Linked DNA regions of Struthio camelus. The protein of the gene in region 1 purifies or fractionates together with the protein of each later gene. This does not show direct contact. Links are inferred from orthologs where the notes say so. Each region holds a gene or a part of one and is shown on either strand. Other genes may lie near its edges. The genes, in order: GPC1 and HADHB.

The links.
Region 2: the proteins of GPC1 (region 1) and HADHB purify together in Homo sapiens (co-immunoprecipitation; 3 studies listed by BioGRID and IntAct, counting the BioPlex papers as one, with this or other methods). This does not show direct contact. The link is inferred for Struthio camelus from reciprocal best matches to the Homo sapiens genes GPC1 and HADHB.

Annotation. Positions count from the first base shown.
Region 1 is NC_090950.1:8,214,820-8,229,948, forward strand, and holds the start of GPC1 (glypican-1), read right to left. Parts: upstream 6,996-15,129; 5' UTR 6,760-6,995; coding exon 6,603-6,759; intron 1-6,602. UniProt on the Homo sapiens protein: Cell surface proteoglycan that bears heparan sulfate. Binds, via the heparan sulfate side chains, alpha-4 (V) collagen and participates in Schwann cell myelination.
Region 2 is NC_090944.1:1,810,083-1,825,634, forward strand, and holds the start of HADHB (trifunctional enzyme subunit beta, mitochondrial), read left to right. Parts: upstream 1-8,463; 5' UTR 8,464-8,725; intron 8,726-8,730; exon of another isoform or gene 8,731-8,965; intron 8,966-10,183; exon of another isoform or gene 10,184-10,285; intron 10,286-10,868; 5' UTR 10,869-10,876; coding exon 10,877-10,943; intron 10,944-11,322; coding exon 11,323-11,364; intron 11,365-12,881; coding exon 12,882-12,981; intron 12,982-13,608; coding exon 13,609-13,653; intron 13,654-14,968; coding exon 14,969-15,068; intron 15,069-15,552. Other genes in the region: HADHA (trifunctional enzyme subunit alpha, mitochondrial), read right to left, coding at 10-112, 193-312, 1,398-1,536, 2,785-2,918, 3,640-3,710, 3,800-3,841, 8,367-8,454. UniProt on the Homo sapiens protein: Mitochondrial trifunctional enzyme catalyzes the last three of the four reactions of the mitochondrial beta-oxidation pathway.

The DNA.
Region 1 (15,129 bases):
TGTCAGAGTATATAGACATGACGGGAGAGGGCAGTCTGTCCTTCCCATGTAATAGGAAAGGAAGGAAAATCCTGGCTTTCACAGAGTTGTGACCTTCATTTATTTTTTGGTAACTTTGAGGGGAAATGTCCTCGTACAACTGCAACTAAGGCAAATTTCTGCAAACAAACCAAGAGGCAACAGAAGAACCTTCAAGCGTAGGCTACTAGGCTTCCTGCAGGCTTTTACAGTGACAGGGCACAGTTATCCTCCCAGCCGCTGGGGAGATACGATCAGTCCTCAGATAGACAGGGAATGGGGAATGCGACTTTTTCCAGGGGGACGTGAAGACGAAGAGACTCCCCGATTTGCTCCACTTCACGTGAACAGGCACAGCATCTGCTCCACCATGCTGCCCACTGGACCGCTCCTCTTTCCTCCTCACAGCTGTGCTCAGCAGCAAGCGTTTGCAGGAGAAGCACTAGAAAAAAAAAAACATCCTGACTCTGATCTAACTTGTACAGGCGGAAACAAAGAGGAACTTGCTTTGGATTTGCAGAAAGAGAGATTCAACGTAGGCACAAAGTTAAGAAGGGGTGGATGAAAGTCAGCATCAAGTGGCCTCCTTTAAGCTTTACTGCCATGCTACCAGATGCAACACTTCCAGCACATCTGTGGATTTATACCCTGCTTCAGAGACACCTTGCCATGTGAAAAGCAGAAAAGGTGACTGTGTTTGCTATGTGCACTCTGTAGCGCAGAGCACTCATGGAGATACGAGAGGACCCCTGCAAATAGCCAAGGCACTCAGAGCTACGCCTGGCTGGTTCATGCCAGCAGCTGCAGAGCACGCTGGGCAGTAGATGCTGGCGGCGTGGCCGCCCGCAGACCCCTGCCATCACCACGGCGAGGCCCACTGCGAAGACAACTCTCTGCAGGGGCTTCCAGCAGGGCTCCTCCGAGTAGGAGCAACGTGCACATGTACTATCTTGCACGCTGCTTGCGGGAAAGCAAAACCCGCGCGGTGGCAATGCGTGCCCCATTACGTACGTCAGCAGAGCCCGACTGAATGTCCGAATGCAACTCTTTCTTGTCACCACTCCTCTGTAAGGCTGCCTGCCTGCTACACGCACACCAAAACACCACACGGCACAAAGATGGCCAAACCCAATATAAAGCAGAACGTTGTGCTCCGCAGGAGCCAGGGCAGCGGCAGCAGCAGTTCAAGCCAGTTTTCCTAAGAAGCCTGCAGATCTGCACACAACTGGCATGTCTACTTCCCTCATTTTCCTCAAAATCCCCAGCCAGTTTTTCCAGGTCAGTGCTAAAAGTTGATACAAATGCTGTCCCCACATCAACAACTGCCAGTCCCCCTCCCTCCTACCCTGTTGCTCACTTCACACCACCCACACCTGAGCCGGCAGCACGGTAACGCCTGACCCCCAGCAACACCATCAGAGACTGAAACCGTGGCACTGGCCCCAGCCCCACAGCGCAGAGGCTGCAGCGGACAGCAGGGTCGGGACCGATCCTCAGACCAGAGGCTCTCCGCAATGGTGGCCTCCCTTTCGCCGAGCTTTTACTACTTGCTATACTGTGCCTATCGCAATAGGACACTGCAATAGAAGCCATTCACACCCACCCCACGAGCCCAACAGCCAGCAGCAGGTGGGGACAGACCCCATGCCAGTGGGCAGGTGCTCCACGCTCTCCACTTGCGAGCAAAATAAAACTTCCCGCTCCAAATACACGCTTTTGATGACCGAGTTTGCAGCTCACCTCCCCGCTCCCCCTTTTGGAGAAGTCGTCAAAGCCCACTTAATTACTGAAATTACCCAGAGGCACCCATCTATCCAGTCCCAGCCATGGGAGATAATTGTAGTGAAAGCAACAGAACATTAAACCAACTGTTTGGTGGTCCCTGCCAAAAGCCCCACAGCTCCCATCAGACACCTCCTGCCTACCTAGAGGCTGACCTAGAGGCTGACCTAGAGGCTGGCCTTTGCTGTTACACAAAGCAGGGCAGTTGGAGGGCAGTAACACAAAAAGGTGAGGCGAGGTGAGCTCCAGAGCTTCAAATGGCAGGGAGGTCTCCAGCTACGCGCAAATGCAAATTTTTCAGGAAGAGAAAATATCGGGCTTAATCATGTTTTGCTTCACCAACAAAAGAAGCTGTTGAAATAGTTTTGTCAGACACAGCTGATAAGGATAATTATGTGGTGAGAGCTTAGTCATCCGTATCACAGTGACAGAAAGACAGATTCTCTAAACAACAACAAAAACTCCAGAAAGCCAAAACCCAAAGAACAGCTAAGTATAGAGCTTTCCAGATTTCAAAACAAATTAGAGAAGCACTCAGTCCACCAGGATAGATGCTCATCCAAGTCTACAAGTAGGTCCTGTAATTAACCACTAGAGGGAGCCCATTTTTCTCCATAAATGAAATGTTCATAATTGTTTTATGTGCACGTTTTGCATTCAGAAAATAAGAGAACAATCACAATGTGTAAAATATGCATATTTATATGAATACAGATTTTAATTTAAGCTGATATGGAGAGATACAGTTCAAGCAAGGCCTACTCTAGCATTTGCACCAATATACTTGCCAGACGGAGAAGAGGCACCAGTCAACGTGCTTGGTTTCATTAAAAATGGCCCTCTAAACCAAGCAGGCTACAAAGGACACTCCAATTTGCCCTTAAATTCATCAGCATAAACAGGTTGATATTGCATTCAGGAGTTCACCATCTAGCTGCCCTTGAGAAATCACATCTGCATTTCGTAGTTACAAACCAAATACAACAACAACCTCCAAGAGTGCTGGAGCAACGGAGGCTCCCCTTTAACTCAAGCAGTAAAGATCTGTCCCAGGGAGATAAGGAGCCCCAGATTCTTCTTTTTAAGACCACCGATGCAGTTTTGCCCATCTTTGTATTTACGCCTTGTACACTGCAACTGCTGGAACTTAAAACGCCCTCCAAAATTGGGTTTCATTACCCTGTCTGGACTCCGAGAGCCTCACCAAGTCCAGCTCTCTACCAAGGCGAAATTGCCAGGCCTGCTCTTTCCCCGGCTAGCTCTTCTCCAACGACTATTTAATACACGCCCTTGACAACGTTTCCCTTACAAAGCAGGGTTAGGTAGCCCAAAAGGACTGGGAGATGAAAACAAACGGTTCTGATTCCTTTCAGCTAAGCAGCCAGCAAAGCACGTGCTTGACACAGGCAACCAGATGAGCAGTGACACTGCCCGGCAAAGTCCGGCTGCCTTTACTCTGCGCCCTGCTCTGCTTCTCCTGCGTTACGCCCATCTCCCATGTCAAGCCAGAGAGGAAGCCAGTCAAGGAAGGTTACACCTTGGAGATAAACAAGCAGAAGCCTAGCCTAGACGGCAAGCAAGTTCCAAGCCTAGCCATGGCAAGCAGAACTCACAAGCCTCCTCCAGCAAGCGAGGAAACCATCTCTGCTCAAGCCGCTGGGAGGGGTCACCCATCGGATGTCAGTCATCCCAAGCCACGCCGTCCGGCCAGTGGACAAACCTGGACGTGTCCCCGTGAAGCACAATGTTTTCTGCAGGAGCTTCACTCTTTTTTCCCCCTCCACAAGGGATCCCATATTTTGTATGGGATCACAGAAAGGGGAAGAGGGTCATCCAACCAGAAGCTGCAGCACTCCCTAACACACAGGAACCCTTTGCTCAACTCGGTACGTCTTAAGGAAGCCAAGGCCATCATTTTCCCATACCCAAAGGGTAGGGAGTATCTCCGTCAGCATTTGAAACTTTCCTCTTGGCAGACCTTCACCTATGAAGCCAAGTGTGCACGTGCTTGTCGGGATTACTAACGTGAGCAGATGCTGCTTTCGTGTTTGGGAATTTTCCCATTGACTTCAACGGGACGAGATATAACACCTTGCGTTTTCCCTAACCCCATTTAATAACAGCTACTCACACATCTAGAGTGCTCCAACGTGTTATAGGCACCGTACAAACATCAGCAAGAAAACCAGGAACCCCTTTCTTGGTGTTTCTTGAGCAATCTGACGGGCTGAGAGTTTATCCCTGCATCAGATCCCTATCTCCTTGCCAGCTAATAACAGGAACCGCGCGACTGCTGATCTAACCCAGCTGAGCAGTCAGAAGCAGCCGCCACCTTCTGCTGAGCTGTGGAGACTTTATATTAGTCATAATCCTCTTAAATCGTAACAAAGAACACAGATCAGAAGGTGCAGTGTGTGCTGTAAACGTGCGAAACCCAACACACACAGCCGTTTCGGGGTGCATCAGAGCCCATGCTACTAGAGCGGAGGACATGTTTTTTTGAAGGGGGGGGAAGAGGTCCAGACGCCAGGCCCATGAGCTGGCTGCTCCCTCCTGGCAGCACCCAGAGCCACCGTGGGAGCACAACAGCACTCTTGGAGCATAGCCCCAGGACTCAAAGGACGTCCGTCACCAGCAATGGGAAGACCAAGATCCTCACGGAGAGGACGAACGTGAAGGGGTGCTGCCTCCAGAGGGCTCAAAATAAGACACAAAAGCTGGAGGCACTTGGGGCGGCTCGCACCTCCACCGGCCGCAGGGGGATGACCAGCTTCAGGAGACCCCAGCACAGGTCCAGCCCTGAACCAGCATCCTCAGCGTTTTTTTTAAACTTAATCAAAAATTGTTGTTGGTGGATACGTAGACGTTTATAGGCGCCAATCCCATCTAATCTGACAAGACTCCCATCACACAGGTTACAGCTCCCACAGTCAGCACGCTTAACTAAATCCGCTGAAACTAGCTTTTAAGCGATGGCTGAACATCTCAAAAGCACGCTGAAAATTACAATACTGTGCAATATTGTACTTGTGAGGGGGGAATTCTGCAGGAAGGTCTTGAGAGCCTCCCTTTGGGGGACACGGAAACTAGCATTGACTTCTGCTCTAACCTGCACAACAGCTAGCAAGTACACCTGACAACACCACCCTTTACTGTCAGCCTCAGAAATTTTCCATAATAAAGCGTATCGATCAACATGCAGTTTTCCCCGTATGGGATAAGTGCTACAGCAATAGAAAAGGGCATTCCCAAATACTTATCAGTTAGAAGTTTCACGTGATAATTACCAACAAAAATCTAAGTCTGTTAGCTGTTTCAAATACCAAGTGTGTAATATTTCCAGCAGCACATTTTTCAAATGTGGAAACTTCTCCCTCAAGCATTTTCCATGTGGTATTCCTCACGTTTTTATAACACGTATCCAGGCAGTTTCCCCCCTGCTTACAGTGTGAAAGATGCCCAGCTTGATACTATAGTTTTCACTACCCCTAGCTTAAGGCCGCCAACATACACACTAGTAGCACTTCGGAAACAAGACTTGCGGCTCCTCAAAACCTTGACGTTCGCAGTTACCTCTTATTGCATCTGAGCAATCTGCAGGCAAAAGATGTTTTACTCGCAGATAACCTGCAACAGCTACCCCATACTTGTAGTATGCAGTTCACGCGATCCTACACAACTGCTCCTGTAGTACTACTGCTCCACGCAATACCTGATCCACCGCCATTAATACCCATAAACATGTAGTCTTCTCAGTACTTTCTAGCTGAAACACATGACTGCTGATGTATTCACATTTGTAATAATTAGAGGCAAATTTATAAAAAGCCACCTTCTTGCTTAACCGAATCATTATTCTATTAGTAGTGATGTTCTGATGATTTCAAAATTCTCTACTGTTCAACTTCAAGGACTGCTCATTTGATTTTGGAAATTCACTCTTGGTTGCAACTTGACAAAGAAAGTATTAATTTGTTCACATTTATAAGACGTTTATTCGGTTCAGTCTTTTCCATTCATGGGTCAGACGACGAATTGCTTTCCCTGGAAAACTACCCTGTGAGATATTCAGCATAAGGCATTCTGTAGCTCAGATGCGAGCTACGAACCGCAATTTTTCCTGGGATGTCCCTGTAGGTTGGCTTTGGCACGTACGCCTGCATGTTTCATGCTTTGTCTGGAGGAGGAAGCTCCCACAAGCGAGGCAAAAGCTCTCAGATATGGGTCACAAGTCGGTGTATCAAAACTTAGACAAGAATAAAGAAGAAGATAAAAAATAGCATATTTTCCCCAGGCTTGTAGGAAAGAAAAAAAAAAAAACAACCCTGTGAACTAGACCTTGATATTCTTTTGATATTCCAGAGGTTTTGGACAAAGGAAGTCTACTACTGTTTGTCAGAAAATAGAGCGCGCTCTCCCTCCGTGGGCGAAGGCGAGAGGACGCGTGGTGGCACGGGCTGCCCAGGTTCCTTCCACACATTACACACCTGACCCAGGCTCGTTTCCCCCCCCCCCCGCTTCATTCCTAACTGCCAAAAACACCGTGCCAGGGTTTGCCTCCCATGCAAAGAGAAGAGTGAGAAGAGAGGAGAAACCCCAAACCCCAAACCCATGCCTCCTCCACCACTGCTCGCCTTGCAGCGCCTGCCAGCCCCGAGGCTGCCCGCGCCGCTCCACTCGCCCCCGTCCCCCGAGCAGGAGCCTCGGAGCAGGACGGCGGCGCCCGGCGCAGACAATGCCCCGAGCCCCGGCGGCGCCGAGCGCTGCCCGCCCCGGCCCCGGCCCCGGCCCCCGCCACTCACCGGAGATCTCGGCCTGGGGCACGCCGCTGAGCCCGAAGCCCTTGGCCCCATACAGCTGCCGCACCTCGGCGCAGCTCCTCGCCTTGCCGCCGCTGTCCGCGCGGGCCGGGGGCGAGGCGACACACAGCAGCCACAGTCCCCACGGGAGGAAACGCATCCTTCTGCGCTGCCCGCCACCTGCCGCGCGAAGGGCAACGCCAAGGTCCCGCGGCGGCGGGGGCCGCTGCCCGGGCAGCGCGGCGGCAGCGGCAGGGACGGGGCGGGCAGGCGAGTGCCGCCGCGCTCTCGGCCCGCGGAAGCGCTTTTGTTCCTAGCGCGGCTGCATGCCCCGGGCAGCCCCGCCGCGACGCTGCCGGCTGCCGAGCCGCCGGGCCGGGGCGGGCGGGGCGGGGCGGGGCGGGGCGGGGCGTGCGCGGCGGCGGCGGCGGCGGCGGCGGCTCGGCACCACCTGCGCGCCGGGCGGGCGGGGGCGCGGGGGCGCGGGGCGAGGCAGGGCTTCCCCCGCCGGACGTGGCATCACGGCGCCCGCGCCAATCCCGCGCGGGGCGCAGCCCCCGCCCCGCCCCGCCCCGCCGCCGCTTGCTGGGTTGTTTGACGGTGATTCGGCGGGAAGCAGCGGAGCTCCTGGGGACCTCGGTGAGCGTCCGCCCCGCCCCGCCCCGCCCCGCGGAGACGCGTGCGGGCCGAGAGGGGCGGCCCTGGCCGAGTCGTCCCCCTGCGGGCACGGCGCGTCCCCGCGAGCATCGCCCGCGTGGCGGGTCACCTCCGGAGGGCTCCCACGAGCGAGCCCACCAGCTCGTGGCCAGGAACGAGGACGCTTGCCGACGGATGGAGGGCCCACGCTCGCCCCGGCCGAGGCTCCTGGGTGAGCTTGCACCCTGCTAGACATCAGAGAAGCCCCACAGAAAGCCCCACCCCAGGTACAGCAGGGTCCCCGAAACAGCAAATTCTATGGGAGACTGCATCTTTCGGGCAAGTCACTCAGACGTGCGCAAATCCGTAGGAAAGCCGGGTCGCTCGTCTTGCTGCTTCAGGGACTGCTTGCTCTCCTGAGGAACGAGGAAGGAGAAAGAAGTGACAGCAAAATAACAGCCCCGGGGAGGGCAAGGATGGCAGGAGAGAAGAGGAAAGATGTTCCTTTCCTGTGAAATTGCCTAATGATTTCCTATGAACTTTTCCTAATTAAGTCACCCATGAGACGCAACCTAAGAGATGAAGAGGACCTGACTGCAAAGAGGGAAAATTCTCTAACAGAGATCACAGGAGCTCAAATGACATGTCACTGTAGCTAAAACTGTAAAAAGTCTGAGTCATATGAGCCTGTGCTATCTCCCAAATCATCTTCTACAGATCACACGGGGCTTCGAGGCTCTGGATGTCCATGCCCAAGCCTTGCCCAGCCTCAGCACGCACACGATACAGGTTTGCTAGCTCCCCCCAGCTTCTACACAGCAGTCTGCAAGTCCCTCCGAAACTTTACTGAGAATAGTGAGTTGACACTGAGCGAGACGTTGTTGGGCCGTGGAGTTAAGAGGGTCCTGTTATGAGGGCCCTACCTAAAAACAAATCCACGGTCTAGTGCAGGGCACCGATGGCGTGTGCCAGTGCCAGTGCCAGGGCAGCTGGCCATTTGGACCACAGTGACATCTGGGCTGATCAGAGGTGTATCAGTGATGCACAGGTTAGGAACCCCACGGAGGCGACTGACAGCCCAGTCGCCCACTTCATTAGCACCAAGGCTTTCAGTTCCCCCCAACTCGCTGTGCCTGAGCTTGAAGCTTCCTCGGGGGGGTTTCCAGAGCATGGAAAAAAGGTCTTGTTTCTGGAAACACGTGGGAAAATCTGCCACAGATGGACGTAAAGTCTGACCCACCCTCTCTTTTCTAAGTGCATGAGTACCGCGCATATTAACAGGTTTCTAAGTTCATTACGAGGAACAAGTTTATTTCAGCCCTTATTCCTGGTTATTTATTGTAATTTTATGGTCAGAGCTCTTTCCCTACCCCAGGCTTTGAATACAGCCCTTACAGAGCTACGTCACAGCTCTCATCTACTCAACCCACTACAGTAACAGCGGAAAACCAGCAGAAAATTGGCGGAATCCATGCAAGGATACATACTGCTAGGAGTACAGAAACACCAGGATCGTGGTTTCTCCTCCTGGTTCCAGAGGGAAAGTCAAACAGTTACAGCACAGAGCTAATACCGCTCTTGCTCGGGTCTGGTGAGGGGAATGAACTCCACGAATGCAAACTGCCGAGCCGGAGCACTTAAAAGAGCAGAAAGGCAGAGTCACAAACCTCTTATTTGCTCTGGAAGATGACACAGGAGCCCAAGCAGTACCTAATTTTCCCTTTTCCTCCTGCGCGCCCAAGGTAGGATCCTTGCCTCTGCGGTGCACCCAGGGCTCGCCCCCGGCTCTGCCTGATAGCACCTTGTGGGAGTGCGGCGTGGCTGTGCCCAAGCTCGCAGCACAACAAAGCCCTCCGCGACCGCACAGCTGGCGAGTGCCCGGACATGTTGGCAGCTGACACGGGAAGAACTGGGACTGAAACCCTCGGCTTTTGGCCTTGCGAACCATCCCCTGAGCTATAGATCATTTTACGGACAAAAGTATCTTCTTTGTTCATACACATCTCGCTCCCCCGAGCTGGGGGACAACACTGCCTGTAGCACAGACACTAAAGTCAGGTCATTCCTGATAAAATCCAGAGAGCCGGCAGCACACGCTCTGCTCGTTCAGAGTCACCCTGTTGTGTCCATGGGGAAGCACTGGGGTACGAATCACCAGTGCAGACTGCACCGCTGGTTGCCAAACCCGTCTCAAGAAGCAGAGCTGCAGGTACCACGAATTTCCTTGATTAAGTGACCTTCAGCACATGACTTTCCTGCTGAATGGGGATAACAGTGTTTCTTACCCAACCCCATGCCTGTGAGGTGTTTGCATACTATCATAATGACAAACTTATTAGATATAGCATATTATATATAATGAGAAGACAGCTTAAAAATAATCGATATGAGCTGTGTGACACAGCAGCTATCTGTGCGTCTCTATAGGATACAATCGTAAGCAAGCAAATCTTCAGCCTGTCCTGAGGCATGACTGCGTGTGCTGCTGTCGCTGGCAAGGCGTGTGTGCATACCCAGGATTTGGGCTGGGTACATTTTAAGCAAACTGAAATCAACACCTTCCAAGCGTCATGATGAAAATGTGTTTTTATGTGCATTATAAACCGCATTTCTTTCGTGTGCGTTTGAAGATCAGATCCACTTTCTGAACACGCTCAATTTAAAGAACGGAGCTTGGCAAAAAGCGAACGCAAGCTTGTCCGGCACCTCACAGAAAGAGCTAGAATTGGGGCAGAAAAGAAAGAACAAAGTAAAGCACAAGCTGAGTAGACAAAATGCAGAGGAGAAAAGCACACAGCCAGCCAGGAGGGTAGTCAGAGGCAGACAGAAAATCCATCCTGCTGGGGCGATCACCTCTTGTCAGCCCCCGACAAAAAGTGCTGCCTGCTGAAAAGCTGATCCAAGCATTACAAAGAGGTAAGAATGATGAAGAGGAGCCAAATCACCTGGCACAAGCCGGGAAAGTTACCCTTTCAAAAATAAATGAGCGGAGGCTTTGTAGTGTCTCGACTTCCACAGGTTCTCGTCCGTCTTCTCTTTCTCCAGCACTTCCGAAAGTTTCACAGCGCCATGGACATGCTCTTTTCAAACTAATGCAGATCAAGCGCTGCAGGGGCAGCAAAGCAATCGCATCCCCCAGAGCTCCAGCTGGCTCCATGACGGACCTGCGCTGAGCTACAACCACCGAGTGTCTGACCACAAAAGCAGAGCAGCAAAACCCCAAATACCCTGTTGAATCGGTAGGCAGACCCCGTCTACTTTTTTCATTGTGTATCAAATACAGAGCTGACAGGAAGTGGGGAGGGCGAAAGGAAAGGAACCGGGAAAAGCTTACGCGGCCTATAGCTTCCTCTCTCTCCCTTGCGGGTGTTGCACGATGAAACCCTCAGCCCCTCTCCCTGAGTCGGTTTTATGCCACATTTGACTCTGCAGAAGCCTCAGAAAATCTGGCACCTCGAGATTAAAAGCCTTCATCAAAGCAGGAGCAGATCAGTACCTCTTCTGCCTGTTTCTTTTCATCCTTGCTCTATCCGGCTCCTGCAGGAGTTCAGGCAAGCTCTCCCCCTGCTCCTCCCACCCCCAGGCTGGCTGCTGTTCAGCACAAGCTGGACACGCGCTTTGCTGAATCAAATCTAATTAGGTTATCCAGAGGATTTACTAGATTACACCTTGCTATCTGCAGCTGCTGACTTCTTCACTGGATCGTCCTCACTGGGACCCATGCAGCTCCTCCTCCCCTCCTGCACACAAACCCCTCCGAAGCTTTTCGGACACGCGCAGGAAGAGCGTACGTGATTGCTCTGGTCACAGAAAAATATGAAATCTATCCTTTTAAATTGCTGGGTCACCTACGTACAACTGACAAATCCAGCTTGATCTCAGCTGACTACGTGAGAAGCCATTTGCTCTACCGAAGCGCTAAGACTTGCTGGGATTTGTGTATCTGTGCTAATTAATGAGGACTATGGTTCCACAGATGTACAGAGCTGGGGACCCTTCCCAGCACCGGAGCTCCCAGCAAGCCAGAAGTCAGACCTCGGCGCAAGAAAATTCGTAATTCTGGCCACGGCGGAAGAGGAAAAGAGGACGGGGGCTGCAGCAGGGTACACCAACGCTCAGCCTAGCTGCTGCTGGACCCTCGATTCGAGCAGACCAGCTCCCTTTAAATGCAATGCTTAATTCCAGCGTGTGTGGTTAGTACTCTGTAGGGTGAGATTATCAACCACCAAATAATTTCAGGCAGAGAATCTGGCTAATTGCCCCTCTGTGCTCTGCTTCGGGTTGAACGACCCACTTTTCCAGCAGTGACTTAAAGGAATGCATGGCTGTAATGACCTCTTACCAACGACTCCACCCTGTAGGACCGTGCTTGTGTCATACGTGCCTCAGAGATTTCCCAGTAGAAAGCAGTCTTAAAGGCCAAAAAATAAATATATGCCAAAAACTCATTAGAGAAACTGCTGCTAATTGGGTCTGCCCCAGGAAATATATTTCATCCTTTTTGGACATGACTTTCAATAAAGCTTTCCTGACTCCCAGCTCCCCAACAAGTTTGTAACAGTGAATGAAGAATACAGACACAGTATTGAATCTGTTTTATAAAAGCAGGGCTTAGCTTGATATATGAAATGGCTCAGAACTGGCTCTAAAATTACTAGGTTAGAAATGTGTGTTTTCAGCATGCCACTACAGTGATACACAGATTTCTCCCCCTGCTTGCAAAAACCACAGTTGGGACCACTTCCTCTTATCGTTCAGAGGGTTATGTCCAGAGCTTGGCTGTTTTTGAAAGGGTTTTATGAAGTAGAAATCTCCCCTCAGTCTGTCATTGGTCGCTGGGCACTGGCTTAAGAAAAGCGCCCGCAGGAGCAAACTCCGCGCCTACGAGTGCAGCAGCACCTAAGCACTGGTCCAAGGCATATGGACCTGGGTCAGGCATCCTGTGCACTTCAGTGCGGAAAAAAAAAGCTACAGCCACAAAGAAAGAGATGTGTGGTGCAGCAATCCAGCCGTTCTGCAATGCTAACAGAGCGTCCTCGAGCCGACGCGTTATCCTCAGCTGATGCTACATTAAACACTACATAAAGCGCTTTAATGAATTAACAGAATTATCTTACGTCCTGCTCAAGTGTTTACTTTTTCCCTCACATCCAGTTACATATAACATAGGCTGTTTTCACAGAGAAATTGGCTATGAGGAAACACCCATTCTGTGGTGCTGAAAAGCACCGAACGCCTTTAGTTGCAAGGAGAGGCTCTCGCGCTCCCGGGCTTTGCACAACGGACTTTGGCGATGCTGCGAAGGGGTGTCAGCCAGCAGCACGGGCAAGCTGGGGTTAAACCCCAGTGAGCGGGAAGGACAGCTAACAGCAAATGTTCGACAGCGTTTCACACAGAAACGATAAAAACTGAATTTGAGTTTGGAAACGCATCCTTCCCATGCCTTTTTCTCTGAGTTGTTAATAAGATAATTACCAGGTGACACAGATTTTTTGATGTGTGCCAGCTTTACTTCTGATGCAATGCTGCACACAAGTAAAGTGACATCTGGAATGGATCTGGTCCAGCGTGTTTTTCATTTTAAGATCTATGCATTTTGCAACACAAATACAGTGTACGCATCCACTATGGCTACATGAATTTTAGGGTGCTTGAAGGCCAAGCCTTCAGAAGATAGTCCGATGTCAGTGAAGATACACTGATTTATCCCGGTCGAGGATTTGGCGCCTTTACAATCCAACATCTGCTTGCGATCTTAGTATCGCTCTGTGTACAGTTTCTTTTGTCAGGACCACATAAACATCCAGTACTGGATTTTCCGAGATGCCAGATGACACACACCCATGTTCTGAAGATTAAAAATAGAGCTCTTAATCTGATTTCATTTCTTCAACCTGCTAGAAACCAGAGAGCATGAATACAAGGAGATGTACGGAGCCTGGGTGTAAGAAACGACAGAAATCACCAGCACACTTAATTCTGTCTTACTTTTTTTTTTTTTTTTCTTACAGTGTTACTTTTGAGTATAGCCTTGAGAATAAGTTGTTCGCAGTATCCATGTAATTTTATATCGCATACATAATTGTGCCTCAGGCAGGACCGTTATTCCGTGGCTAAAGGGGCAAAGCTGAGATCCTTTGCCTCTATTGTGGTCGATGCCAGGGACGTTGCTTTTTAAAGCACTTTAAATAGAAGTCGGTGGACGGGGGATCCTGCATCTCACTTTCAAATCTTCCTTGCTGCCTTACAAAAGCTAAGCAGTTAGGTGCAATGACTCACTCATGCTGACATTTTTGGGAGAGAACGATGCCTTTTATAACAACATCGATATTCCCCCATTGAGGTCTCAACGCTGGCTAATTTAGAAAAGAAACATGTAGTGCAAGGTTGAAAGGTCACAGGCCAGCCGAAGAGCTCATGAGATCATGGGACCATGAAAGAAGCTCCGACTTTAAAATAAAATAGCCTTTTTTCTTTCTTTTTTTTTTTTTAAGGAACAGACAAACTTTTCTGAAAGGCCAGGAATTTAATTTGAACTCTTCTTTCACATACTGTACAAATAAAAGCTACACTGCGGAACCACTTGGGGCGGTTCAGTACAGTTTATCTCCAGAGGTCACTTTAATCTATACGGAAGGGACAGGGAGAGGGAGGGACACACATTTACTTTGAGAAAGCTGCCAGACCTCTGTAAGCTCTGATGTTCCCATTGCCAAGCCAACGCCCTTCTTAAGATTATTCTCCCCGCAGTCCGTAATGCCTCTGCAGCCTAGGGAGTGTGAAATTAAATTATGAAATATTGGATTATTTGTGGCTGTTGTGTGCTGCTCTGTCCACACTGTTCTTTTCCCTTTCTTAACTTCCTGATTTTTCCTTGCTAGAGCTAAAGGAGAAGAGGGGGAGAGAAAAGCTTATAACAACTTTACTTCCACAGCATTATCTAGACTGATGTTTTTGTGCCCTGAACAGATTTTAACACAGATTCAGAATTGAGACTAAAATCGGAGCCAGATTTTCTGGGTTTGACTCCTTTCCATGACTGCTAACCCACAAAGTATTCCTGTTGTTTGCCTGTTTGTTTTCCGAAGAGACACTATTACAGTTTCCTCCCAATATTAAGCGTCTCTGAAAACAAATTCACTCTGATAGAGATGATCTTTCAGAGTCCAAGCTGAAGAGAGCCTCCTTTCCTTTATCAAGGAACCTGAAAATGCTGATGTGGGATTTACAAAAACACAAGCAGCCGAATGCGTTGTGTTTCCTTTTCCTTCCAGGGCAGTAGCAGCTAACAAATACTATTTGTTGATGCAGTATACATAAACCACACGTCCTTAGAACAATAACTTATTATTAAACCAAAGCAATTAGGCACAGAGAGCCTTCATACCTGCAGCCCTCAAACTGAAAGAGGTCAAGTGGCTGCCTAACGGAACGTGCAATCGGCAAGAGAAGAAATTATTCTTTCACCATTCGTGCCTTCAGCGCTTACGCAAACAAAGACGAGCTACTGCAGTGAAAAACTGTACTTGAGCCAAGCTATCCTCTCAAACTTTCTTAATATTAAGTATTTCACAAGTATATCTCTATTTCTGTGCTTTCGTTTTTGTCAAGCTTAACAGGGTTGATAAACTCCAAAGTAACCAAGTGTAAGGCACCTGTAAAGCAAACTGACTGATGGGACCTTCTGGGCGTATGCAAAAACACAACTGGGCAACTGTGTGCCTTTGCTTAGCCGAGCAAGATGCGACCCGGATGCCAGTGCATCAGTTCAGCCCACTGCTTGGATGCAGCATCAGAGCACAGCACCGTTTGCCACCGCTGCCCAGCTGCCCCTCTCCTGACTCTTCAAACACCCAAACACCTTCCTTGAGAAGCTCATGGGATACTCGCCTGT
Region 2 (15,552 bases), on another chromosome or scaffold:
ATGTCTGACCTAGTGGGTCCACCAGCTGGTCAACCAGACCCATCTTCTTTGCTCTGTCAGGACGGATGCTCTTCCCAGTTAGCATCATATCAAAGGCAGCAGGAAGTCCTACCTGCAGGGGCAGAAAGAGGTTTTCAGAGTGGGAGCACGCTGTGAAGCAGAAAGGGCTATTAAGATTTGTCTCCTACTTACCAGCTTTGGCAGCCTCTGAGTGGCCCCTGCCCCTGGCAGGAGTCCCAGTGACACTTCAGGTGTGGCCAAGACCGTTTTCTTGTCCTTTGTTGCTATTCTGTAGTGACAGGCAAGGGCAACCTTAAAATAGGAAGAGAAACCATCTCAAGAGTTCCCGTTGAGAGACCACAGAAGAACTGGGCACCCATCACAAAGCTCCCTTCCACACCCTTCCCCAGCTTTCCTCCTGGCTCACCCCTAGTTCAACTGCCCAAATTCCCTCTGTGCTCATTCATGGCTTCCTCCAGCGAGAAGAGGGCAAACGGGGCTGATGATAGCAAGCAGCTATTGGCATGAACACAAGACTACAGATTTGAGCCAAGCTGTTTTTAAATCTCATCTGGACTCTCGGGGGCTAAATTCATTCACTGCACTCAAGAGCACTGTCCCATTTACAGATCAGCCACGACACTCAGCCCATCACTGGATCACCAAGCCCAGATCCTTCATCACTGTGCTTGCAAAAAGCTGAAATTGCTTGAGAAATCAGTACACAGCTGAAGAGACCCCATTCTCAGAAACAAAGTTATTCCAATGTAGTGAAAACTTTGCTGCAGAAATAATCACAGCGCCTTTCAGTTGACAAAGCCTCCTCCTTCCTCATCACGCTGGGCAGAGATGAGAAGATTAGCTACTTAAAAATGCATAATCCTAAACAGAGATTAGGAAGCAAATACTGCACCCAGCTGAATTGGCAAGCAAGAGAGAATGTAGGCCAGGTTGGAGCCTTACCAGGTTCCCCACACTCATCCTTCTCACAAGAACCTTTAAAAGAAGTTGCTGGGATGTGAGGTTCATTTCAACTGAAAAGAAGCTATTTCCAGCCCGGATTCTGCCAACAGCATTTCTCTAGATCCAATGCCTGCTGGAAACAGCTTGTTTTCCCAGGAGTGCACTCACCTAAATATTAGCCTAGCACGCAGAGATTCATATTTGATTAGCTCTCTTTCAACAGCAGCAGAAAAATTAGCATGGCAGAGCCATGAAGCACAACCAACCCGTTAATTTGCCACAGATTCATTTGAATGGCTGTACAGAATCCACGCCAGGTCTCAGATCCTTCTCGCACCCTTTCAGGATAGTCCTGCGGGCATCATTCGGCTAGTTTGGAGAACTAGCGCTACCAACTCCCACTGCTGCTTGGCAGACCCCAAACTGTCCAGTACCTCCAGTCCTCCTCCCAGGCAGGAGCCACTGATGGCAGCAACTATGGGCTTTGAAGACCGCTCAATTTTTTCTAACATCTTCTGTCCTTCCTGAGAGAGCTGAGTCACTTCCTGAGAAGTCTTGCAGGCGCCAATCATGCTGCAGTGAGGCAGAAAGGCTGATCAGAATTGGAAAAGCGCTGAGAAAACAGCAGTAAAATGGAGAGTGCTTCAAGGATTTTATTCCCCTCTTCCCACAAAGCTCCAATGACTGACAGACAGGCAAGAGCTATTTAGTCCCACAGATTTAGATTAACAGAGAACACAGGAAGACTACTCAAATCAGTGGGTTAAGTCACTGCATACTGACACGGGACTGTGCCTGCAGGCAGTGAATGAGTCTCCTTGTGCCAGAGCTCTGAAAGCCTTTTGGGGAGAGAAGGAAGGGTCACAGGAAGCCTCAAAGCACTTGCCAGGAAGGGTGGAAGGGAGAGCCCAGGATCACATTTGAGAGAAGCAGATGGCCAGTGCTCTGACATTGCACTCCGCCAATTAGAGACTTTCCGAGCCAATTATTCTCACAGAGGCTAGCAGCGTTTGCCAGGCAGGCACTAATCAGCAGGCTTGCTGCACTGAGACCAGCCGAGACCTCTTAAACACAGCCTGTCCTTTTGTCCTGCTTACCAGCTAAAGCTACTGCCTCCTTCCCACCACAGGATAGATCAAGTCTCTGCTCCTGAATAAGGCTGGACAAAAAGGTAACAAGCTCTGGAAGGGCTGATATGCATTTACCTTCTCTGCTCAAAGCTTCCGGATTTTAATGTCTTTAAACAACTGTTCTGTCGTGCCCAATGCAGGACTGGCAATTGACGGCACTCCAGGCCCAGGTGAGAGCACTCATACAGGGCGTACTCGCACCCGACAAGAGTTACCCAGCCTGGGAAGCTGCTCAGATGCTCCATATGGCAGAGAGCCAAGACTGCCCAATCAAGGAGCTGTGCTGGCAGACTGCCAGACACTCAAGATCCAGCTCAAATGAAGTTCTGCATGTAAATTATCTGCTCTCGTTGTGCCCCAGACCAAAGCACAAGGCTTACCCCTGAGCCAGAAAGGGAATTTTCCTTGGCTGCACCCTGGCACGCAGGAAGGAGCGACCCAGTGCTAGAAGCAAATGGGGTTTAATGACTAGCCAGGTTCCTCTTTATCAAGGCCATAACTTCATTTCAGCAAGTCCCTGTCAAGTTATACATCCTGCGCACATGGATTTCATATTCATTCTCTACCTCACCCTTGGGGAGAGGTCAGTGACAAACTGCTCAGTCTTCACAGCACACCAGACCTTTTGCCCGAGATGCTGGACTTTAGAGAAAGCTCCATCAGCATAGTTTCTACTGCCACCCAAACTTACTCAAGATCTGCTCCAGCAATGAAAGAGCCTGGCTTTGAAGAGATGAGGACGGCACTTTTGACAGCTTCATTGGCCCAGACTTCATTCAATACATCACTCATCTCGGAGCTCAATTGTTTGGACAGAGTGTTCACCTGAAGGTAGCCAATACACATTGTAAATAGAGAGCCCACGAGACAGTGGAGTTAAACCTCTGATTAAGTGCTGGACTCAATCATCATATCATCGGAAAACTCTCACAGAAGAAAGACTGAGGAAAAAGCCAAAGCCAATGGTAAGTCTAAATGGATTTTCCAATCTGTCTGAAGGCAGTGGAAGCAGTAGCTCTATAGCCTTTTAAAATTTGCATTCTGGCACAATTCTAATGTTTCTGGGCACACAAATTGAGCCCAGCTTGGCTATAAAGTTCATTTCACCCTGTATCACAACACAGCCAGAAAGAAAACCCCAAGATGAAACCTTGCAGCAGGTTATCAAGTAATCTGCTCTTAAGAAGTTTCTTCTTCAGCCTCACCAATACATGTTTTAAGAGCTTCTAAGCTGTTTTGTTCAACAGAATGGACCCTCTCCTCAGCCACTTTGAATCGAGAACTTAATGTTCAGTGACACCTTGTGCTGGTGAGAGAGACAAGTCAATTTGGTACAAATAAAATATTTCCAGGGGGCACTTCCCAGTATGTTCTTTTATTATATGCCCCGATTCTCATTCTCAAATTTCCACTTTCAAATCTGACTGGCAGCAGGTTAGGAAAGTTCTTAGTCTTCAGTTACCAATTTTCAATGCCTTCTCTGTACTACCTGTATTCCTGCTCTTTCCTCTGATATGCCTATTAATCACAGTCAACAAAACCGCACCTTTGAATCTGGTGTGCTGAAACGTACAACAGCGACATCTCCTTTGATATCACAGCTAACGTGGGTTCTAGCTGGAAACAAACGGAAACACTTTATTAGCTTATGTTTAGTGGATTTTAGGAAAGAAAAATCAACTCACATACAAAAGCTTTACGCTTACCCTGAAGAACAGTGGAGGTGGAGATACCACGGCAAGCATAACCTAAGGAAGAGATGTTGCAGATGTTACAGGCATTCTCGGTAAGCTTTTAAGGTGATCTCAGCTCAGATCTTAATATACTCTCCCATCTTCCCTTATCTGCCGAGGCCGGTGTTTCAGAAAATCCTGAATACCGGCCAGTTCCTTCTGCTATGGCTCGACCTGTGCCACCACCAGAATTCAGTGGACTCCATGCTACTGAAGTGACATTGGCAGGACAGATCCCACACGGGACTTTCCAATAACAGGAATGCCAAACTGAGGGCAAAAATCAAAACCTTTTTACTAAAGAGCTGACAACAGATTAAGCAGGGGACCTACGGAGGGGTTTTGACATTAGGCGTGCACGGTTCAACACTTCTTCACATGCTAAATTAGAGAGACCTTACCACCCTTTGGACACTTTCAAGCCTGCGTATAAAGTTCTCCCCAGACTAAATAGAAATGTCCTAGAATATCTCTGCAAAAATGCACTACTATGCCTGTAAATGTTGGCATTCCAAGTGTTATTGCACAGATCACAGGAAACATAGCTGTTAAGCCACAAAGAAACAGCACACAATGTTTATTCTCTCCTCCACAATCTATCAAGGCAATGGTTGATCCATCTCTACAAATTACATACGCAAGTACCTAGACAAACTTGTCTTGTTTTGAAACTTGCTCTGAAAAAACAGCACGAGGGATGACCAAAATCTGTATAACAGTGAAATGCTACTTTACTCGCACAAATATCCCAGATTCCCCTTTCCTGCCAAGAATTTGTATTCTGCCTGATGATCTCTCACTACGCAAGCGAGTCTCAGTTCTGTTCAAACGACCTTGATCTTGACTGAGAGGATCACCCAACGCAGATCTAGGCTGAATCTCTGCCAAAGCTGTTTGAATTCTCAAAGTCTAAAAGTGTTACTTCTTAAGCAACGTACTGTACACCTACCAATTGGAACACAGCCATTTACTACGCAGCACTGGTAAAACGCTCGGGGCTGAAACAATCCCTGTCCCAGCAGCAAGAAGGCAGAAAACCCAGGAGAACGAAAACAACCTTAAAACCTTGGCCTGCACCTCGCAAACAGACACGCTTCCCTCCCCACAGCCCCGGGCCACGGGCTCGGGGCTAGAGCTCCTTTGCACTTTGACCCTCTTTCCACTTTGTCACAGGTGCTGGCACTGGGGAATGACCTTTGCGCTCCATTCCCCAAGCCCAGGACACCTGGCAGGATGCCACGGGCTGGGGATGGAAACTGTGTGTCAGTCCGTCTCAACAGACTTCTCTTTGATGGGAGCAGGGGGTCACGTACTTGCGATACCATTTTATAAACAAAGCGTGAACTGGTTTCCACTCCAAAGCGGCTTTAAAATATTTATGGGCCTGAACAAGGCCCAGACTGCAATTACTCAGGTCAACATTAATTTCCTTAGACTTTCTGTGCACTAAAGTCGGGTACTCCTGGAACGAAGCACCAGCTCTCATTTTCCACAAAACAGAGCATTGTCTGCCAACAGTTTCTCCACTGACGTACGCACCTCAGCAGAATCCGATGCACTTCATTGGGTTAAAATACCACAATTAGCAAGCCACCCACAGAATCACAGAATGGTGGAGGCTGGAAGGGACCTTCAGAGATCATCCAGTCCAACCCCCTGCTCAAGCAGGGTCACCTAGAGCAGGCTGCCCATCCAACTCCACTACATTAGCCAGGTGAGCACTGAACAATCCTACTGAACGTCTTCACTTTAATCCCTGTATTACTCCATAGTGACAGGCATGGCAGGAACGAGAATCAGATCAAACAAACATCCCAGCTGCAGATCAAGTGATAATGCTTTCCTCCCACACCCTCAGTCAGGCACCTCCTAAAGGTGGGGTGGGGGAAGGAAAATTTTCCAAGAAAATTTTAAACCTTGAATTCCACTTTACCTTTCAGTTTTAAAACAACAGATACAGAGCAGGAAAAAAAAATCATCAAGGGCAAGACAGAACAAACCTCACCGCGTTTCAATATAAGCTCTTTTGGGAAACGTACTGCTGTTAGAGTAACAGTTGCTTATTATTTGAGTGAGGTTTTTTTTTTTTAATTATAACTTTCTGTGTGTTTTTCTTGACAATATTTTATTTTAGGGTCCAGTATACTCTTGGAAAACAATTTCTACGTCTAAAATTAAAAGCACATTTATGCAGTCACAGTACAACTGCTTTAGGTTTTGATTTCATTCAGAAGGAGCTGTGATAACTTGCCAAGATTGAAGCCAGAAAAAACCTCTTCCAAATTCTGTAGGAATAACAGCAGGCCAGATGTACATTTCTGCCATTTTATTAATGTTCATTCTAGAACTAAAAGCCCTGAATATATATTCAATTTTCACTATTTCACATTCTTTGCTCTTTGGACAAATGAAAGACTGTCTGTACAAAGGAACACCAAACACTTCAGAAAATTGTTCTCAGGATTTAGCAGAGAGCTTCAGAAGCAAGCAGGGAATGGAAAAGCCCCCTTTCAAACAATCTGGCTGGGACCTGTTTCGTCCCACTTTCTCTTTCCTCTGTCACTTCCTTGGCTGCTTCCTTGTCCTGCACTTCCCCTTCCTGCCTTTCCATTCCCCCCGAAGCAGCACATCACTTGAAGGGGGAACATCGTCCATAGATGGTTCACGAGGAAAGGCTTCTTGTAGTCCTGGACTGGGCAAGCGCCAGCAGAACAGAAGAGCTGAAGCTCACGAAGACGGCTGTACCTGCGAGCTGATCGCACTGAGCACTGAACTGCGAGCCGCAAGACGGGAAACTTCCAACAAACTGAGCTATTTACTACCACCTCTGGGAACCTGTCAGCATATGGTATGATATATACATAATATACATATACATACGGAAGAGCAGGTAAGGCTAGCTCTTAAGCTTGCACGGCCTTCTGCCTACTTACTGCCTTTTGCAGTTCTTTTTTGGGCTGCCCGTGATAGATTCGCATCCGTTTTGGCAAATACGTTGTTACGGAAGAACAACACGTAGAAAGACTGCTATTAATTATGTCGCATGACGTGACATTAGCCACAGATAGATAGACAGATAGTCCTGACAGCGTTCCCGGAACAAAGTATTTGTAATGAAGAATATTGCCAGTTATAATGAGAAGCCCACAAGAGGCTGTTTAAGCAATCTCTGGAATTACTACCGATCTGCTCGTTATCAGTTGCAGTGCTCTGCTCTTCTAGCGATGAAGTCACATATAAACTTGCTCCAATCCTGCATGTAAAACAGGCATTAGGCTTAAATGAAACACTGCCTGACTTCAGCTCTACATTGACACCAGACCCTAAGGCCCTTCAAAGCAGAGAAATAAGAGCTTGTTTCTAATAAGTCTTAACCTTAGGCCCTCCCCAGGGGCACCTTGCAACTCCTTTCTTTGGTACCTCCGGGACAAAGCACCAAGACTCAGCCGCCAGCAGCCATCGCGCCCAAGCAGGAGGGGGCTCGGGCTCAGTCAGCAGATGGCAACGGAGCAGCGGTCGATGACCGGGACGCTTCTAAACGTGACCTAGACGCGGCCCAAAGACAGCTGGCGAGGCCCCTGCAGACACAGGCACGCATGGGGACGGTGCGTTCCCTCCGCCACGCAGGGACACGGGGGCCCCCTCCCCTCAGGGCCACGCGCACAGACCCCCAAGGACAGAGCTGTCCCCCGGGGGGGCACGCACGCACGGGCGGGGGCAGAACACCCCTTGCCGTGGGCACGCGTGGGAAACCGCTCCTGGGGGACAGCCGCAGGACACCCGCGCGCAAGGGCATGGGGACGCCCCCCCCCCCACCCCGCCACGCACGGATACTGGGGACACGCGCAGCGTGCCAGGACGCGAGCGCACACCCCCTCCCCGTAGGGTCAGCTCGCAGGGCTGCAGGGACCCTCTAGCCTAAAACGTGCCCGCGGGCGAGGACATGGGGACGCCGCCCCAGGGAGGCGCGTGGGAGCACGTCCCGCGTGGGGACACCAACACGTGCAGGCACACCGCTGTCCCCCAGGACGCCCGCGCACCTGGGGGATGGCGGGGGGACACCTGGACGCCCTCCCCCCCGGGCAGGTACCGGCTGTTGGGACACCAGCCGCCCCAGGGACACAGGCATACGGGGGCTGTCCCCTCCCTAGAGCCCCCCAGAAACACGAACACCCGTGGATGCCTCCTAAGAAGACCCCCCCCTTCCTCAGCGACACCTCCCAGTGACACCTAATCCCTCACAGTGACACATACATACATGAGCTCAGTAACCCCTGTCCCTCACCCCCCCCACCCCGGGGACACGCACGCGCGTGGGCACCCCCCCGGGGACACACACACGCGAGGCCCCACTTCCCGGTGCCCCCCCCCGTGCGTGGCCCCACCGCCAGGTGCTTTCCGTGCCCCCACAGCGCCCCTCAGTGACACGCACACGCGTGGGCACCGCCCCGGGAGGCCGCGCCTCCTCCTCCTCCCAACCGCCCGCTCGCTCGCTCCCGGCCCGGCGGCGGGGCCCCACGCTGCCGTCGCCGCAGCTCACCCGGGGGCCGCTGGCGGCGGGGCGGGCAGTGCTTGGCGGCGGCCATGAAGCGCCCCAGGCTGCCGATAGCGCGCACCGCGGCCGCCATCTTTGCTGCGCGCGAGGTCGAGTGAGGGAGAAGCGTCGCGGGCGCCGCCGGGGGCCTTCGGCGCTCCCTGTCCCTCCCTCCCTCCCGGCCCCGCCCCGCCCGCGCCTGCCCGCGCCGCCAACCGCTCCCCCTCCGCCGCCAACCGCTCCCGCCCTCCTCGCTCCACTCTTCTCCCCGCGGCGCCTCGACCGTCCCTCACCTCCTCCGAACGGGAGCGGGCGGGCGGAGCGGCGGGAAGGCGGACAGCCGGGCTGTCAGGGCTGCCGTGTCGGTCAGGCGCGCGTCGGGGCAGCCCGCGCGGGGCGGGGGGAGCGGGGTCCTTCCAGAGTGGCAGCGCGGTGGCGGCGGTGGTGGCAGGAGGGCGCAGGCGGCGGCGGCGGGGCCGGGTCGGGCCGGAGGTGCGCGGGCGACGGCGGCGACGGACCTCATGGGGCGGGGGGGGGACGCGGGACGGAAGTGGGGTTTGCGGGTGTGAGGCGTCCAGAGGTGTGTGAGAGACAGCGGCGTGTAGGTCGGTGTGGGGGTGTGTGTGGGGGGGGGAGTGTGTGTGGGGAGGTGTGTGTGTACGGGAGTGTGTGGGGGGGGTGTAGGGATGTGGGGTGTGTGGGGAGGGGAGTGTGTGGGGGGGGTGGGGGGGAGTGTGTGTAGGGGGGTGTGGGGGGGTGTAGGGATGTGGGGTGTGTGTGGAGGGGAGTGTGTGGGGGGGTGTGGGGAGGTGTGTGCGGAGGGGGGTGTGGGGGGGTGTAGGGATGTGGGGTGTGTGTGGAGGAGAGTGTGTGGGGGGTGTGTGTGGGGTGTGTGGGGGGTGTGGGGAGGTGTGTGTGTAGGGGGGTGTGGGGGGTGTAGGGATGTGGGGAGTGTGTGGAGGGGAGTGTGTGGGGGGGTGTGGGGAGGTGTGTGCGGAGGGGGGTGTGGGGGGGTGTAGGGATGTGGGGTGTGTGTGGAGGGGAGTGTGTGGGGGGGGTGTGGGGAGGTGTGTGCGGAGGGGGGTGTGGGGGGGTGTAGGGATGTGGGGTGTGTGTGGAGGGGAGTGTGTGGGGGGGGTGTGGGGAGGTGTGTGCGGAGGGGGGTGTGGGGGGGTGTAGGGATGTGGGGTGTGTGTGGAGGGGAGTGTGTGGGGGGGGTGTGGGGAGGTGTGTGCGGAGGGGGGTGTGGGGGGGTGTAGGGATGTGGGGTGTGTGTGGAGGAGAGTGTGTGGGGGGTGTGTGTGGGGTGTGTGGGGGGGAGTGTGTGGGGGGGGTGTGGGGAGGTGTGTGTGTAGGGGGGTGTAGGGATGAGGGGAGTGTGTGTGGGGGGGTGTGGGGGGGAGTGTGTGGGGGGTGTGTGGGGGGTGTAGGGGGTCTGTGTGGAGGGGAGTGTGTGTGGGGGGTGTGGGGATGTGGGGGGGAGTGTGGGGGGTGTGGGGATGTGGGGGGGTGTGTAGGGGTGTGGGGGGTGTAGGTGTGGGGGGAGTGTGTGTGGGATATGGGGGGTGCGTGTAGGGGTGGGTGTGTAGGGGGGTGTGGGGGTGTGTGGGGTGTGTGCGTAGGGGGTGTGGGGATGCGTGTAGGGGTGTGGGCAGGTATGGGGAGTATGAGGGTGTGTGTGGGGGGGTGTGAGGGGGTGTGTGTGGGTGTGTGGACATGCATGTGCGCCCGTGGTGTTTGTGAAGGGGTGTTTGTCACGCGCCAGGGCTGTGGGGTGTGAGTCGTGGGTGTGTAGTGCGGGGGGGGGGGGGCGGTGTTAAGCGTTAAAAGCGTGGCAGGATGAGGCGCGTCTTATCCGGAGGCAGCTGAAGAGCAGGAGCAGCAGGGGCCGGTTTGGCCCTCCGCAGGAAGAAGCGCGGCTGGGGGTTTGTCCGCAGGGAAGCCTTGCGGTCCCGCTGCGGAACGAGCACGGAGAAAGCCGCTGGGGGAAGCTTTTGGGGTGGCGGTGGCCAGCTCGTTCTGCTTCCCGTGGGGATACGCCACGAAAGTCACTGAGCTCAGAGTCAGCAGTTGAAATTCAGGGCAGCGGCACGAGGTTGCGCCAAGGAGCGCGCGTTAGGAGAGTCATGCTGGCGGGGAGATTGGCTGGGCTCTGGGACAATTTTCCAGCGGGGAAGTGGTGGAACGGGTATTGCGAGGGGAATCTAAAACTGTGCTGGCTGCTGCGCTGCTGATAGTGATAGTACAGTGCTGGGTCATCAGCGAGATGACTGCTTATTTACAGCAATGTTTGCAAGCCGCAGTCATAAGTCAGACTTCTCACGTGCTAGATGCTGTTCAGAAAGTACAACAGAATGTAATTCCCTGTGCTGCTGCACTTGACTGCCCTTGATGTGTCTTCTCTTCCTCTGCTTTTTTGGCTCTGTGTGAATCAAGCAGTATGCTTACCTTGAAATTGTTCTGAATAAGCCAGATTGGACTAATAGCAGTCTTTCTTCACCTCTCTAGACCTCAAGATGACTTCCATGCTGACCCATATCATCAGAAACCTCCCTGCTTCCTCAGCATGGGCTGCCAGGGTCTGTAAGTATCTTTATGTTCATTAGAGACTTGAACTGGTAGGTCATAAAGTTCTCTTTGTTTTAAGCATTACGTTTGGCAGGGACACTTTTGTCTGAATCTCTGTTACGTTATGGTTTTTTTTTTTTTTTAAACAACTAATTCTGTTGTTGACGTATTTGTTGTTTCCCAGATCTCCCAATATGGGAGGAATCTCATGTTAACTGGTAATATGTACTATGTTGTTTTTATGAACACAGTAACTTAAAAAAAAAACCTTGCAGATATTCAGGTGCACTTGTATTGGAACTTCTTTTTTTTTAACGTTTCTTACAAAAATAAATAGAAATGTTTTTATAATTATAATTTGATAAATGCTCCTTTTGTGGTTCTTGTTTTTCAGCTGCAAGATCACTCAGCTGCTCTTCACAGTTACAGGCAGCAGGTAAAGTGAAAGCTTCAGTGGGTTTCTATTAGAGACTATTTTTGAAGCTGCCTCCCTTTTCCAGATACTCATTCTACATAGATCTCAGAAACACAAGGCAGACTTCGTTAATTCTAGAGGGCCCTTCTAAAGTTGCAAAAAAGTAAAGCTACAGGCAAAACAGTGTTTCCAATAAAGAGTCCTCTAAACATCTGAATCTCCCTCACCCCCAACAACTGTGCCTGGTCTGAAGCTCGTGCCACATTGTCACCTGATAGATTGCTATTTCTAGGATCCTAGACAGAGAGGCTAAGCTAGGAGGTTATAAGCTGTCTGGTTATAACCAAGTCTCTTGCCCGGGAGGGGTGGAGGTTGCCCCTGACTAAGAGAGGCTTGTGGAATTAGCTCAAAGGTCCAGTAAGACCTATGAGAGGCTCAGGTCTCAGTAGAGCGGCTTAGTGTGCACAATTACATTGATTGTTAGATGTGTGTGTTTTTAAGCCGTTTGGGTAGTGTGGGGTTCTGGGATGTGTTCTGGGGTCACTCAGGTGACTGTGATGCTTTGAGCTGCCTGGATTGCAAAAAGACAGCAGCCCCCGCTTGTCTCCTTAGCTTCATCTGGAGAACCCTCTTATATGACTCAAGTTTAGTGCTGGAGTTTCATACTTGTGCTTTCACTTGCTTGAGCACAGTATTTAGCTGGATTTAATCTGCTTTTACATGCCTTTTCCTTTTCTGGCTTGTAAATGCAGCTGCCTCATGCTGCTGTGTCTGCTGGTTAAGAATTGTAAACCTGACTGCATTAGGAAATTCTCATTGAGCTCCTTGTTAATCATCTCTCTAGAACAGCACTGACAGTGGTGTATTAAATGATGCTGTATCATGGCGTTGCTTTGTCTCAAACCTGAGATACTCCCAGGCATTATGAGGGAGTAGCAAGCTACCCACAACAGCTTTGTGCCCTCTTTTTGCTAGTACTTTCCTATGGAAGTGAAAGTTAGTTGACTTCTTGCACTGTGTTTTTATTTACTCTGAATTATCTCACCTTTGCTGTGCAATAGGAGCACATAAGTGAGCAATTGCTATGGAAGGTGGATTGTTTCCAGTCCTTGTTGCTTCCCGAGTGAAAGACTTTGAGGTCTTACCCTGGTTGCTCGTCTTTGAATTTGGTCCGCCTCATTTATATCCTAAGTCATTCAGCATTCTTGGAGGTGTCTTTTCCTGCGATATTTTTGTCAGTAGTAATGGAGTTTGAGGATTATGTTCCTTTATTCTGAGCTGTGCCATTGCCTCGATATAGCTATGGATGAATCTCTCTGCTGATGAGGGAAGCTGAAATTCTGTGTTGTTAAACCATTTTTCACAAACGGCATGCTCAACCAGACAGGGACAAGATTTTGCCTCGCATCTCCTACCTACTCTACTTTTGTCTTATGCACCAAAGGGGACTCTTTCCTGAGTTTTCTAGTAGCTCTAACAGGATCTGGCTTTAAGCTTGCTCATATTCTTGGCAATAATTACTTAAACTTCTCTCTAAGCAGTCCAGCCGAAGAGTAAGAAGACATTAGCCAAAAGTGGCGTGAAGAATATTGTTGTGGTAGAGGGTGTCCGTATTCCATTTTTGCAGTCTGGCACCTCGTAAGTATAAAATAATAAGAAAATACTTTGACTGGGTTAATAGTAGAATCTTTTGGTGGAAAATGTGGAATATGGTTTGCTATGTTGATTTCAATATAGTTACTTTTGTACATAAAAATACTAAGATGGCAAAGTTAGGCTGCTGACAGTTTTTCCAGCTTATATTATGAAAAAACGTGGCTTGAAGAAGATTGGCCATGAATATGAATTCAAAGGAGAATGCAGATTTGTGCTGCACATCTGGAGGAGCCCATTGATGCCCCTGTAGCAGATAAAGCAAAGCGTTTCACAAAACTAGCAGGACAGGGGCGGAGAATCTGCTGCAGACTCTTCTTATTAGACTATTATACCACCAAAATCACAGCTAAATTAGGACCAGAAGGAATATCTTTATTCTATTACTGTTGCTTTTCAGTGCTTTAGTATAGTGAACGTATGCTGACTTACACCTAGATAGTCTTTGTAACCGCAGCTATGAAATGTTTGCTTATGAATGCACTGTCCCTGTGATTCAGAGCATTTCTGGTGTCTTCACCAGTTCTGTGCTGCTGGTGTGCACTTACAGTGAAGAAGACGCCTGCGTTGGTTTCTGACACTAAGTTTCTGCCTCTCTCCTTGAACTTCCAGGTATGCGGATCTTATGCCACATGACTTAGCCAGAGCAGCATTGCAGTAAGTAAATGGACTGTCAGAAGAGCCCAAAAAATTGTCTTCTGCTGGACTCCAGGGTGCTGGTACAGTGACTTCAGCTAAGCTGAGAGCCAAGGTTCTAGTTTTGTTGCTAAACAATACGATCCAAGTGATTCATTTTTCGTGGTCTGCCACTGCCTTAGTAGGGGGTTCAATCAGTAGAGCGTACAATAGACTCGTGCAAAAGAGTATTGTTAAAAGGAGATTGCATTGTTGTGTTGTTTGACTTAATTTCACTTGATTTGGATTCTGACTGTGTATGGTTTTCTAATACAGAGGTCATAGCTACTATCTCAGTGTGCCTAAAGTTCAAGACAGAGACATCTAAGTGACATGGTGATTCAAAGACAACTAAGTGAGACGGAGAGTAACAAGCTAATTCTGTTGTCTTGCACGTTGCTTCCATCCTGCTGTGATTTGACAAGAGCTGTAGGTCACTAGCCGTGTTTTTTTAATTAAGAAACAGGGCAAAAACAGGACATGCTGTCGAGAAGAGTACTGTTGACAAGGCATGACTTGGGGGGCATGGAGATTTCAAGTCACAAGGAAGGATTGTGAGGTGTGGGGTTGGGTGCAGTCGTGCCAAATCTGAATGTCATCTTTGGGGAGCCAGAGGAAGGCCAATTAGGTTGACATGCAGTGTGTCAAGTGTGTGAGGGCTGTGCCACAGAGATTGAAGGCTGAGGTGGTTTTAGTGCACTGCTGGAGAGGAGGTCTTTATTGAGATGTTTTTACTTTTGTTTGGTGTTTTTGTAATGCATGAAACTACATTTGAATCGCACTAGCCTTAATGAATACCCCCAATGGGATTTGCTGTCTTAGCGTATTTGCCAAGATGTTTTGGCAAATGGTGTGATATGTTTTCTAATGAACTGTGAAAACTTAACTGCTCATTTTCTGTGTGTCTTTATGAGACTAATACATGTTCCTACACCGAAGGTAATCGGCTTTGTTATCCCTAAGCCCTTATTCCTTTAATTTTGATATCAGAATGCTCTGAGTTAGGGAAGGTATTAACAGCCGCTTCTCTGAGGAAAGAAGAGTAACTGCTTTCATGAAACTATCTGTGTAGTCATTTATATAGTGATATTATTGCTATGATTATTTGCAGTCTATAGTCATTTGCATCTTTCATCAAGTATATGTGCGTGAAAGATTTCTTCTGAATTAGGGATACAACACGTAGCTCTGTTGTTGCCTTGGTTCTCTGGCCCAGCTGGTAGAAGATGGATGTTTGAAAACCGTGGTGAGGTTATTGCTTACCTGGTACGAATTCTGTTTGTTTCTCTCTTCTCAGAGGGTTGTTGAATCGGACCAGTGTCCCAAAAGATGCTGTTGATTACATTGTTTACGGCACAGTTATCCAGGAAGTGAAAACAAGTAATGTTGCCAGAGAGGTGGGTTATGTGCAGCATTTCTCCTGTAAGCCTGATTTAAGCAGCTAGCATAAAGATAACAAAACCTTATGAAAGATAATCTATTTTTGCAGTTCGTTTAAACATGGTTTGGGAATATAAGCTAGTTGAGCAGTAGTATTGTCCATAAAATAGCTGTGTGGGACTCTGCCTCCTCTTGAAATCTACCAGAGATTAAGTTTATTTTGATGCTGTGAAGCTTGATTCTTCCCTTAAAGGGGAGCTTTTATTAATGATTAGCAAACATTGTTAATGATTGCTGATCACTCAACTCTTACTGCCGGTTGGACTTGAATGCTGGCTTGCCAGAAGTACTTGAGAGGATCCGAGCATGCTGTGATACGTTTCTATATTGTGGTATTTATTTATTTTAGTTGGCTGATCAAATGCAGCGTTTGAATGATTTGAAACGTAGTCGCTTGGCTGCCCTTTCTTCTGGCAGGCAAAAAACCACAGTTCATATCTT